Linked DNA regions of Mus musculus. The protein of the gene in region 2 purifies or fractionates together with the protein of the main gene of each other region. This does not show direct contact. Links are inferred from orthologs where the notes say so. Each region holds a gene or a part of one and is shown on either strand. Other genes may lie near its edges.

Region 1 (5,677 bases), on a different chromosome or scaffold from region 2:
TGTGTATGTCTGTGTATCTGTGGGAGGGCGGGAGGTAGCATGTGTGTAGAAGTCAGAGGACAACTTGCAGGAGTTGGTTCTCTCCTTTATTGTATGTGACCTTAGAATTGGGTTCAATTTGCCAAGCTGTGCTTTTACCCAGAGTCATCTTGCCAGACCCTTTATTGTTTTTACATTTTACTTTTTTTGTTGTCACTGGAATTGAGGGGAGGGGGGTGGCAGTGAAGGTTTTTCTGTGTCCTGGAACTTGCTCTGAGACCAGGCTGGCTTTGAACTCAGGAAGATCTGCCCTCCTACCTCAGCCGCCCAAGTGCTGGGATTAACGATATGGGCCACCAAGCCCAGCCCTACGTTTTACTTTTAATAAGTTTTATTACATCTGGTGTGTGTGTATATATATGGGGATTGAACCTAACTAAGGCTTTAAGAATACTAAGAAAGCACTCTATCATCAAATTATTATATTATCTCCAGCTGGCCCCCTCCCCCTTTTTACGTTTTATTTTTTTATTTTTTATTTTCTTGTATGTTTTGCCTGCACATATGCTCACTATTCACATGCCTGGTGCCTGTGGTAACCAGAAGAGGGCTTCATATTCCTGGGAACTAGATTAGAGATTGTTGTCAGCCACCTTGTAGGTGGCAGAAAATGAACCTGAGTCTTTGAAATACTAACAAGTCCTTTACGCTGAGCCATCTCTCTAGCTCCCAGCCGTCTTTTATTTTCTGAGACATAGTCAAACCATGTAAACCGTTAAACTCTGTAGTCCAGGTAGGCCTTCCACTTTAATGTCCTGGAGTTACATGGCCTGTGCCACTAAGTCCAGTACTTACTATAGTTTCTATGTAAGCAGATCAGGTTTCAAACAGCAAATAAGGTGTGGGTGATCAGATCGAATCCTAGTTCCTTGCATGCCTGTCCAGACTGACTGGAATTACGCCCAAGGTCACTTACAGACACTAGGACTAGTTATTGGTGAATCTGAACCTCAGCTGGGTTTGTTGGATTCCTAGAGCAGCCTCACCAGCCCTGTCTGCCCTGCCCATAGCTTATGATGGAGCAGTCCAAGAAGTCCTCGCTTATGGTGGCCCGCAGTATTCTCAACAACAAGCTCATTAGCAAGAAGCTGGAGCGATATCTGAAGGTGAGGCAAAGGCGAAAGCACTGTCCTAGTCCTGACCTTTGTGTGAGCCTGGTCCCCATTCTATCCCAGTGATTCCTACCTCCCATTAAAGTCTCTATCCATCTCTACAGGGCGAGAATCCTTTCACTGACAACCCAGAGGAGGAAAAGGAACAAGACGAGGTGGAGGCTGGCGCTCTGGATGAAGGGGCACCAAGCGAAGCGACAGAGCTCACAGAGGGCGTGCCGGCACAGCCCCCCGTGCCCCTGGAGCCCGCCCCAGGGACTACAACACCGCCACCTCCGCCACCACCAGAAGAGGAGGAGAGCCCTGTACCCTTGCTGGGCGGAGCGCTGCAGTGTCAGATCCGCGGGATCCCGGGCCTCGACATGGAAGACGACGAGGAGGGCGGTGGGGGTCCATAACCCTTACCCGGCAGGGCTCCCGTGGCCGAGGCTGGAAGTCCAGCCTAATAAAGTGCTTTCCCATCTGAGGTCTTCGTTTGTGCTGTGGTGAGGGCGGGCCCCTAGAAGTGCGCCTGCGCGCGGGTAAACGCGCTAGAACCGCTCACGCGTGCGCGGACCTGGACGCTCTTGCGCACTAGCTTACCCTTGAGGCACAACTCCCGAGATGCTGTAGATTTGCAACCCGGAAGGCTGGGCGGATCGGCGGGGGCGGGCCCATTTGAGCAACCAATGGTAGCGCCCAGAAAGAGACGTACGCTCTTCGTCTTCCAGTAGCAGACAGCACGTTGAACGCATGCGTTCTGAGCGAATCTAAGACAAGGATCTGCTGGCGGGTCGCGTCGCAGACATGGAGCAAGGCTACGGAGGTTAGTGTGGGCTCTTCTTCACCACGGGAGACCCTGGCGCATGTGGTATTCGGGCTTAGCCTGCAGCCGGAACGCACTTGCCGCAGCCCGGTTCTGTGTGGAGTTGTCCCGGACGCGCGCGCTTCCCTTATTGGGCCTCTGCGCAATCGTTCCCGAAGCGCCGCGCGTGGATTGGCCGGTAGGACTCGGGGCGGGGGGTGCGGATGAGGCGCGAAGGCCGACGCTGTGGCCGGTTTCTGGATGCGTTCTGGACCGCTTTCACTGTGCAAGCCGAGTGGCTCTCATCGCTGCGGGACCCCAGGACCCGAGCGGTCTCAGTCCCGCCTTCTCTTCCGAAGACGCCACAAAATGGCGGCTCCAGGGGCGGGGCTAAAGCGAACGCTGAGGAAGCGGGGGGTGGAGGGGGTTGAGGTCCGGCTGGGTTGCGGCGGCCGTAGCGAGGAGAGAGTCTCAGCTCATCCTCCGCAGGTCGTCCTTGAGAGCTCGTGTCCCCGGGCTCGCTTTTCTGAAGGCTTACGGGCAGCGCGCGATCGGCCCAGCTGTGCACTGCGGCTACACCCGGTGCAGCTTTTTGGGAAAACCTGGCTGGGTCTCTGCAGTGTACGCGGCGTGAGGTGCTCGTGGGAGGTGTGCTGCCTGAGGGGCTGGGATTCTGGACTGTAACATTACGGGGGTCTGCGGAAGCGGGAACGTTGCCTTTCCTAACCTAAATGTCAGCAACTTTTCGTAATTAGGCGTCGGTTCTCGAGCTATCTGCTTTTAATCTCCTGGGAGGCCTTGACTCTGTACGGAGATTTACCCGCAGGAGATAGTTGGAACATGTGGAATGGGGTTGGAAGTGGGCACAGGGAGTGGTTAGTGGCTTCTGGCGGCTAAGGAAGGGATCTTGAGAGGCAGCAGAGTAACAAGATCCCTAGAATTGGACTTGCCAGAGAGGCCTGAGGTGTGATGAACACGTGTGCTTGGGTATCAGCCTAGTGCTCTTTGCCTTTGGGATCCTAGATCTATGTCTTCCATTCTTAGCCTTTCCACCAGATAGATACCTGTCACAACCCTGCTATACTTCTTTGGTCTAGGGAACTTCATGGTGACTCCCACTTTCTACCAGCCAATAATTTTACAGATACAGTTAGGGTATTTGCAGCCTTCCTGGTTTTTTTGTTTTTTTAACTAAGAATTTTTTTAGCCGGGCGTGGTGGCGAATGCCTTTAATCCAAGCACTTGGGAGGCAGAAGCAGGCAGATTTCTGAGTTTGAGGCCAGCCTGGTCTACAAAGTGAGTTCCAGGACAGCTAGGGCTACAGAGAAACCCTGTCTCAAAAAACCAAAAAAAAAAAAAAAAAAAAGAAGAAGAAGAAGAAGAAGAAAAAGAATCTTTTTTTTTTAAGATTTATTTATTATATGTAAGTACACTGTAGCTGTTTTCAGACATTCCAGAAGAGGGCATCAGATTTCGTTAGGGATGGTTGTGAGCCACCATGTGGTTGCTGGGATTTGAACTCGGGACCTTCGGAAGAGCAGTCAGCGCGATTAACCACTGAACCATCTGGCCAGCCCCTCCCTGGTTTCTAAGTAGCAGTTAGGTATGGCCGTACTGAGTGCCTGTCAGCACATTTAAGGGACTGTGTTACAGTGGGGCTTTTGGGATATTCTGGAAAGGGAACTAACCATTAACACTGTCAAAGTGAAGTCATTCGACAGCCTGGGACTGTGCCACTGTATCGGACTATATGCTAGGCTCCAAAAACACAAATGAAGAGAATGTATTCCCTTTCTGTTCAAAGGAGTGTTGTAGGGGGTGACTTAGAAGGTCAGAGGGAGGCTTGAAAGCTGGGGTGTTGAGTGTTTAGTTACATGGAAGCAAAGCCTAACGTTTATGTCACCGAATTTCTAGCTTGTTTCCCAGTTTCGTGGCATAACTGGCAGCACTCTGAGCTTTCCCGCTTATGTGGCGGCTAGGCCAGTACAGTGGGCACTGTGACCTAATGCTGTGTTTTGTGTCCTCTAAACTTGGTTCCCTCCCTCCCGCCACCCCCCCCCCCTTTTTTTTTTTTTTTTTTTTTTTTTTTTTGCTTTGATGTCAGCTCAGCCAGGTAAGGTATGATGGTTTGCTTGCATTTGTGGGTGGAGATAGTTCTTAAAGGCTGGAGGAGGTGCGCTGGATCACATTTACGTTCCCTCGTTGTAAGCTGACACTTCTTTAGACTCTTTGGGTGTTATCAGAACTCTTATTTCCTTGAGGTAGGACAGAATCTTGACACATGATCTTTTCACAGGCTATGGGGCATGGAGTGCTGGACCTGCCAACACCCAGGGTAAGTGGTTCCTGATTAATGGGTTGGCTTGTGGGTTTCTCCACTGCATGCCCCCTTGTAGTAGAGCCCAGCATCTGTCTTCCCTAGGGGACATTTTGCCTTTTTTTTCTTTTTAAGGAAAAACAGTACTACATGGGAGCGGAGGCTGATTAGTAAGAAGAATGCTCCTTGTGTCACTCTGCTACCTGCCACCACAGGCCTCAGTAGCACCCATGCACCCCTGTTAGTCTGTATACACAAACTGTGCGTTCCTATTATGTTTAGCATATTGTGGAACGTTTGTCTTGGGGTGCTTTTCTTGTGACCATTTAGAGAGATAAAACCTGTTTTTAAGTCAAGAGTACAAAAACAGACAGTAGGCTAGATGTGGCCTAGGCTTTTGTTCACCCTTATTTTCTGAGTCTAGAACCTGTCCCAGGCCAAGTCCCTAGCACCATTGGAGGCAAGCCACTTTTTTGTGTGCCCCGTGAAAAGGTCTTCCAGACACCTCTGCCACATAATATGTTCTTATTCAGTTGAGAATGTGATTTCCTCCCACTCCCACTGATGCCTTAGGTATGGTTGGGAATAACTAGGTTTGGTGAGAACTGAGCTTATTTATGCAGGGGATTTTCTAAGGTCCAGTGCAGCCTGTCCTCTCAGTTAGTACTGTAGTGTAGACCACCATCTTGGGGATTGCTGTGTACCTTTCTTTTCTAAGCTTTCATGGGAGAAGTCAGGCCTGCCTGGGAGAGAAATATTATTGGTGCTTTGTACCTGTTCTGTAAAACGTGAGCATGCTAAGGACCACTGACACAACCAGTCACACCCCACCTTGTGGTGCAATGAGGTGGCAGCTGTCCTTAGGTAATAACTGGTATTGAAGTGCTTATGTGTTTTTGTTTTTCCTAAGGTACATATGGAAGTGGTATGACCAGCTGGCAAGGTAAGACCTTCTGAAAGGGACCTTGAGGTGGGCAAGTGAGTCTTTAAACAGCCATCCAGAGGTACAGGTCCCCACTCCCCCATCCTGGCTGTGCACATGGCTCTGTCGATAGCCCGGAGAATAAGGCTGCTGGGCCCTGAGGCGTATCAGAGCTAGGCTGACCTGAAGGGGAGTTTGAACTTGTTTGAGAGGGATTGTGGATATAGTGCAGGAACACTTTTCAAATGTCTTTGTTAGTACCTGGAATTGCTATTCTGAGGTTCTTGGCCATCTTTGATTAGGAAACAAGTCCTTCTGTCTCTTAAAGAAAACCTGCTACTACAATCTGTGGCCACCTGTCTCTCTGGTCTTGATCACATGTGTATTGTGGTATGATGTTGGTAATGCTTAGTTCCATAACTTTTTCCTTCTTGGTGGGCAGAGAGTGCTCCTGCAGACAAGAATGTCATGGCTAGCCTCATGTGCTCAGGCCTAACATGGTT
Region 2 (5,133 bases):
GCACCTTCCTGAAGGAAGGGACCATTTATTCTGCTCCCAGTTTCAGGGGTATCAGCTCATCCTTGGCAGGAACAAGTCAGTGCGTGGTGGTCAGAAAGAGAACACAAAACGCAGACCCACTCCTAGTGACAGAGCTGGGCCCATGTTCCCAAGGCTCAGTACCTTCCTAGGAAAGTATCTCCAGAGGGGGACCAAATGCATGGACCTTTGGGAGACATTTTACCTCCAAACCGTAACACCGAAGTCTTTCAGGTTTTTTTTGTTTTTTTGACAGAATCAAGCTGTTCAAAGCAAGTTCCAGGACAGCCAGCAATGGCTACACAGAGAAACCTATGGGAAGAAGAAGTGCAGGGGAGGGGTACAAAACCCAAAAGAACTAAGGCCTCTTAATTGGCTTGCAGCCTGCTAAAGTCCACCCCAGGCATCTGCCTCCCCAGCACTGAGATTTCAGACATGCACTCCCTCCCCAAACAGGTTCTGAACCTCAGGTCATCGTGCCTGGCTTGCAGTGCTTGAGCTTTCTCCCTTTCTCTTCTGGAGGACTGTGTTTGTTGATCAAGGTTATTCCTACACCTCATACTCTGGGCCTTGCTTTGACACTGTTTGCTGTATTCTTGTTTACTGGTCCCCTGAATGGGTTTCGGCACACCAACATAGGCAGTCAGAGCAGAGATGCTGTGTAGTTGGTGACCTGGGCATATTCCTGGAGATAAATATGAGTGTGTAAGATGGAAGAGAAGTGTTAGTCATAATGAGGTTAATGTCCTTACTGATCAGAAACCTTTAGTTTGTTAGCCATTGATCCACTTGAGCACTTGGAGATAGAGTCTGAGAGCAGACAGTGCTGACAGTCTTCAGTGTTGGACATGAGTCTGACCTAACCTCCTCTTTTTCAGGGTGAAAAGGCCGACAGCTTCTATATCATAGAGTCTGGGGAAGTGAGCATCTTGATTAGAAGCAAGGTGAGTGTGAGTGTGCTGTGTACATGTTCTCCCACCAGTGTTTACTTTGCATAGTGTGGCCTGTACTTAAGAATACCAAGCCATCGCTCTCTGAGGTGTGGAACTGCCACTAATAAAGATTTAGTACATTTTCTCTGGACCTCATGGATATCTGTACCCATGTGCATGTGTGCATGTGTGTGTGCTCACACACGCACACACAAATAAAGTCCATCTGCGCGTGCTCACACAGGCACACACAAGTAAAGTAACAAAGAATTAGACAGGTATGGTTGCGCATACCTGTAATCCCAGCACTCAAGAGGCAGGGCTAGCTTAGTGTATATAACTAGTTTCAGTCTAGCCAGAGCCAGAAAGTGAGACTATGTTACCAATTGGGGCAGGGGCTTTTCTGCTTATAACATTCGTGGTTCTTAGAGCCAGAGGCTGATTCTCATAATTTGTTGTTACTGTTAGCAAATGGATTCATAAGAAATAAGAATCCCAGTGTAGCCGGGCGGTGGTGGCGCACGCTTTTAATCTCAGCACTCGGGAGGCAGAGGCAGGCGGATTTCTGAGTTCGAGGCTAGCCTGGTCTACAAAGTAAGTTCCAGGACAGCCAGGGCTACACAGAGAAACCCTGTCTCAAAACCAAAAAGGAAAAAAAAAAAAAAAGAAAAGAAAGAAAAAAACCAAACCAATCCCAGTGTAGCGATGCAGCATAGCACAGATGTTTGAAGGCTGCAGTCAGCTTGTTAAGGATGGAGACACAGCTCTGGTGGAAGTGCAGAAAGTTCTTTAAAAGAAATGTTGTCCCCCAAAACCATCCAAGGCTGCCTCAAACCAACCAGTGCTCTTGTGCTTTGGCTCGTGACTAGCAGAAGAATTAGCAGGGGACCTTATTGGGCTTCAGCCGTGCTTTGGTCACATCTCCCAGAGTGTGTGATCTCCACAGAAGACACTGCATGCTTAGCCTTTACCTAACATCTTATGGCCTAGGTGGAGACCCAGCTAAAACCACCCTTCAGTTGTACCAGGTCACAGAGATTTGCCTGTCCAAGTTTACAGGGTACAGGCAAGAGTTTCTGCATGCGAATTCCTTAGTAGTTTTGTTGAACTTTCTGAGAAATGATTTGAGTGTGCACAACTGGACATGCCCATCTGTGATCCTAGAGCCAGCCAGGATCATATTCTTTATTTGTTGCAGACCAAGTCAAACAAGAATGGAGGGAACCAGGAGGTCGAGATTGCCCATTGCCATAAGGGGCAGTACTTCGGAGAACTTGCCCTGGTCACCAACAAACCCAGAGCTGCTTCCGCTTACGCGGTTGGAGATGTCAAATGCTTAGGTAAGAAAAAGCTTTGTGAGGGGCTTCCACGGCCTACTCCAACTTTAGGCAACTAATGGCAGCTGGAGGAGGGAGACATAATCCTGATTAAATTCTATCTCCCCCTTCCTCCCAAAAAGACATGAAATCAGAAGAGCAGGGTGGGAACTAGCTGGGAAGAAGGGGGATGGGTTGGAGTGAGAGTGGGCGGCAGGTAGTGAGGGATGGACATGGTCAAAATCATGCATGTGTGAAGATACCATGATAAAAACCATTATCATGTATGGCTGAAATAGGCTAATAAACATTCTAAACATGGAAAAGAAAATTCTTTGTGCATTACTAATATACAGGGGTTTTATTGTCTTTCCTGTAACTGGCCTGACTTATTCTGATGACTCTTGTTCAGTTCTAGGTCTGGATAGTTTGTGTAAATGAATTCTTATAGCAAAGCTCACCCCCTCTCTCTGGGAGTTGTTGGGCATTGAACTTAAAACCTTGCACATTCTAAGCACATGCTGTGCTACTAAAGCTCTACCCCAGTACCCTAGAAATCATTTCTGAGCAATGAATCCAGGCTGTGAGTAAGACAGGCCCACAGGCAGACAGGCACACAGGCACATAAACACACAGGCACACAGACAAACAGGCAGACAGGCTCACAGACAAACAGGCCCACAGGCCCACAGATAGACAGGCACATAGATACACAGGCACACAAACAGGCCCACAGGCAAACAGGCCCACAGGCACACAGATACACAGGCACACAGACAAACAGACACACAGACACACAGGCACACAGACAAACAGGCAGACAGACTCCCAGACAAACAGGCATACAGACACTCAGGCACACAGACAAACAGATACATAGGCACACAAACAGGCCCACAGGCCCACAGACACACAGGCCCACAGACAAACAGGCCCACAGACAAACAGGTACACAGGCACACAAACAGGCACACAGACACACAAGCACACAGGCCTATGAAAGCAGCAGTGATGGAGGCAGGTGGCCAGGCCTGTGGAGGAACAAGACAAGCATTGTCCGCCATTAATCTTCAACCCAGATGCCTCCTGCTGTAGTATGCAGAAGCACCCGTTTCCCCTTTTCCCATGTGCCCAGTATTCTAACGTTCACTCCTGTAACATGAGCGAGTAGTGTGTTTAGGAAAAGGGTTGCATGCAGGAAATTACTTAAACTGTTACTGTAAACAAATCATTCTCTCCCACACCTTTTTTAACAATGCAGTTATGGATGTTCAAGCATTTGAGAGGCTTCTGGGCCCCTGCATGGACATCATGAAGAGGAACATCTCACATTACGAAGAACAGCTGGTGAAGATGTTTGGCTCCAACTTGGATCTGATGGACCCCGGGCAGTAGATGTGATGAATCTTGGAGCCTTCTCAGTGTGATACCAAAACCTTCCAGTCAGCCACAAGAACACACACAGAAAACAGACACGACAGAACCGCTCCTGCTGCTGTCTCCGCCGCTGCCATTGCTGTGGTTAAGGGCATTTAGAAATCTTGAAAGTCAGCACTGAAAGATGGATGGAGGTTCCACCCACACCCACCCTCCACTTTGCTTCTGAACGCCGTCATTAGACCACTTATGTCATGAGTACTCCAACCCAGGTTTCACATTTGGTTCAGAATGTCTCTCCAGCAATTTAAGTGCCTGATTCAAAGTCCAAAGCGTAACACCCTCCTTTCCTCTCTTGCTGCTAACGTTGCTTCTGAAAGTTCTAAGGTCTGCAGACACCTGTTGAGTAGCTGTAGACAGCACCTCCGCAGTCCTTCTCGAGGGAGAAAATGGTAGAGCCTTCCGTCTCGTTTGTCTTTTAGAAAGTCCACAGTGTGTTCACAATGCTGCTTTACTCTCACAGTGGAAGGTGGTAGCAGTTATACTGGAGGTCTCTGCCCCAGAGGCTCTGTACCATTTGCTGGCAGCTACACACTTTACAGCTGTGTCTAAACTCAGAAAGAGGCCCAGCAGATCCGTATGGGCAGATTGAGTACTAAGACTCACGTTAGCAGGAAACTTGGATTCAACACTCTTTCCAGTAGTAGCCAGGAAAGGTTATCTGGGTTAGGGTTTTTGTTGTTTGTATTTAGTAGGTTTTTGTTTTGTTTTGTTTTGTTTAACCTCTGTGCTGTTTACATAAACAAATTGCTATCCTTTTCTAAGGAGCCAGGGGTGGCTGGTTAGCTCAGCTGGTCAGGGCATGGTGCTGATATGAGGAGCCAGGGTCTGGAGGTGTTGTCACTTTATCTGACCTGAGTACTTCCCTGAGTGAGCCCTGCCTGTCCCTTTCACTGGCTGATAGCGGGAAGCCAGCAGGAGGCTGTGCTGCACAGAGAACTCCTTCCCTTCTAGCGTTACTGCATAGCGTGCCTAGAAATCATCAGTTTTTAAACTCTTAACAAAGAAGCTATTTTTTTTTAAGGAAATTATTTCTCTATTTAGAGAATTCACCTTGGATGTATTCATATACATGGAGTTTGTCCACTGACTCAGGCATTTGTCCTAAATATCCGTTTTCAAAACTAGGTATCATTGGGGGTAGGGGCTGGGTGCAGCTCGGTGACAAAGCACACGGGGCACGTGCAAGGCTCTGGGTTTGGTCTCCAGCACTGTAACAGCCACAGGAAGACAAGTTATCATGTAGAAATGTGGAATTACTGTGAAGGCCTTTCTAAGTAACAGTCTCGACTTTTGCCATGGTCACCATAGCCAAGAAATGTCCAAAGCAGGTGAGTTGCCACAATTTTGGTAATTAGTCACTTTTTCTTGTGTTCCATGAGGTAAAAGCAGGACTCTCCAGGCTGATCTGAGTAGCCTACGTTACAGAT

Evidence for each region. Proteins that work in one complex are often made in the same cells at the same time.
Region 1: the proteins of Prkar2a (region 2) and Akap8 purify together in Homo sapiens (affinity purification with western blotting; 3 studies listed by BioGRID and IntAct, with this or other methods). This does not show direct contact. The link is inferred for Mus musculus from reciprocal best matches to the Homo sapiens genes PRKAR2A and AKAP8.

What each region holds. Positions count from the first base shown.
Region 1 is NC_000083.6:32,317,364-32,323,040, reverse strand, and holds the start of Akap8 (A-kinase anchor protein 8), read left to right. Parts: upstream 1-1,802; 5' UTR 1,803-1,937; coding exon 1,938-1,956; intron 1,957-1,985; exon of another isoform or gene 1,986-2,134; intron 2,135-2,176; exon of another isoform or gene 2,177-2,583; intron 2,584-4,231; coding exon 4,232-4,270; intron 4,271-5,162; coding exon 5,163-5,195; intron 5,196-5,677. Other genes in the region: Akap8l (A-kinase anchor protein 8-like), read left to right, coding at 1,050-1,145, 1,256-1,549. UniProt on the Homo sapiens protein: Anchoring protein that mediates the subcellular compartmentation of cAMP-dependent protein kinase (PKA type II).
Region 2 is NC_000075.6:108,743,334-108,748,466, forward strand, and holds part of Prkar2a (cAMP-dependent protein kinase type II-alpha regulatory subunit), read left to right. Parts: intron 1-896; coding exon 897-962; intron 963-2,148; coding exon 2,149-2,290; intron 2,291-3,527; coding exon 3,528-3,661; 3' UTR 3,662-5,133. UniProt on the Homo sapiens protein: Regulatory subunit of the cAMP-dependent protein kinases involved in cAMP signaling in cells. Type II regulatory chains mediate membrane association by binding to anchoring proteins, including the MAP2 kinase.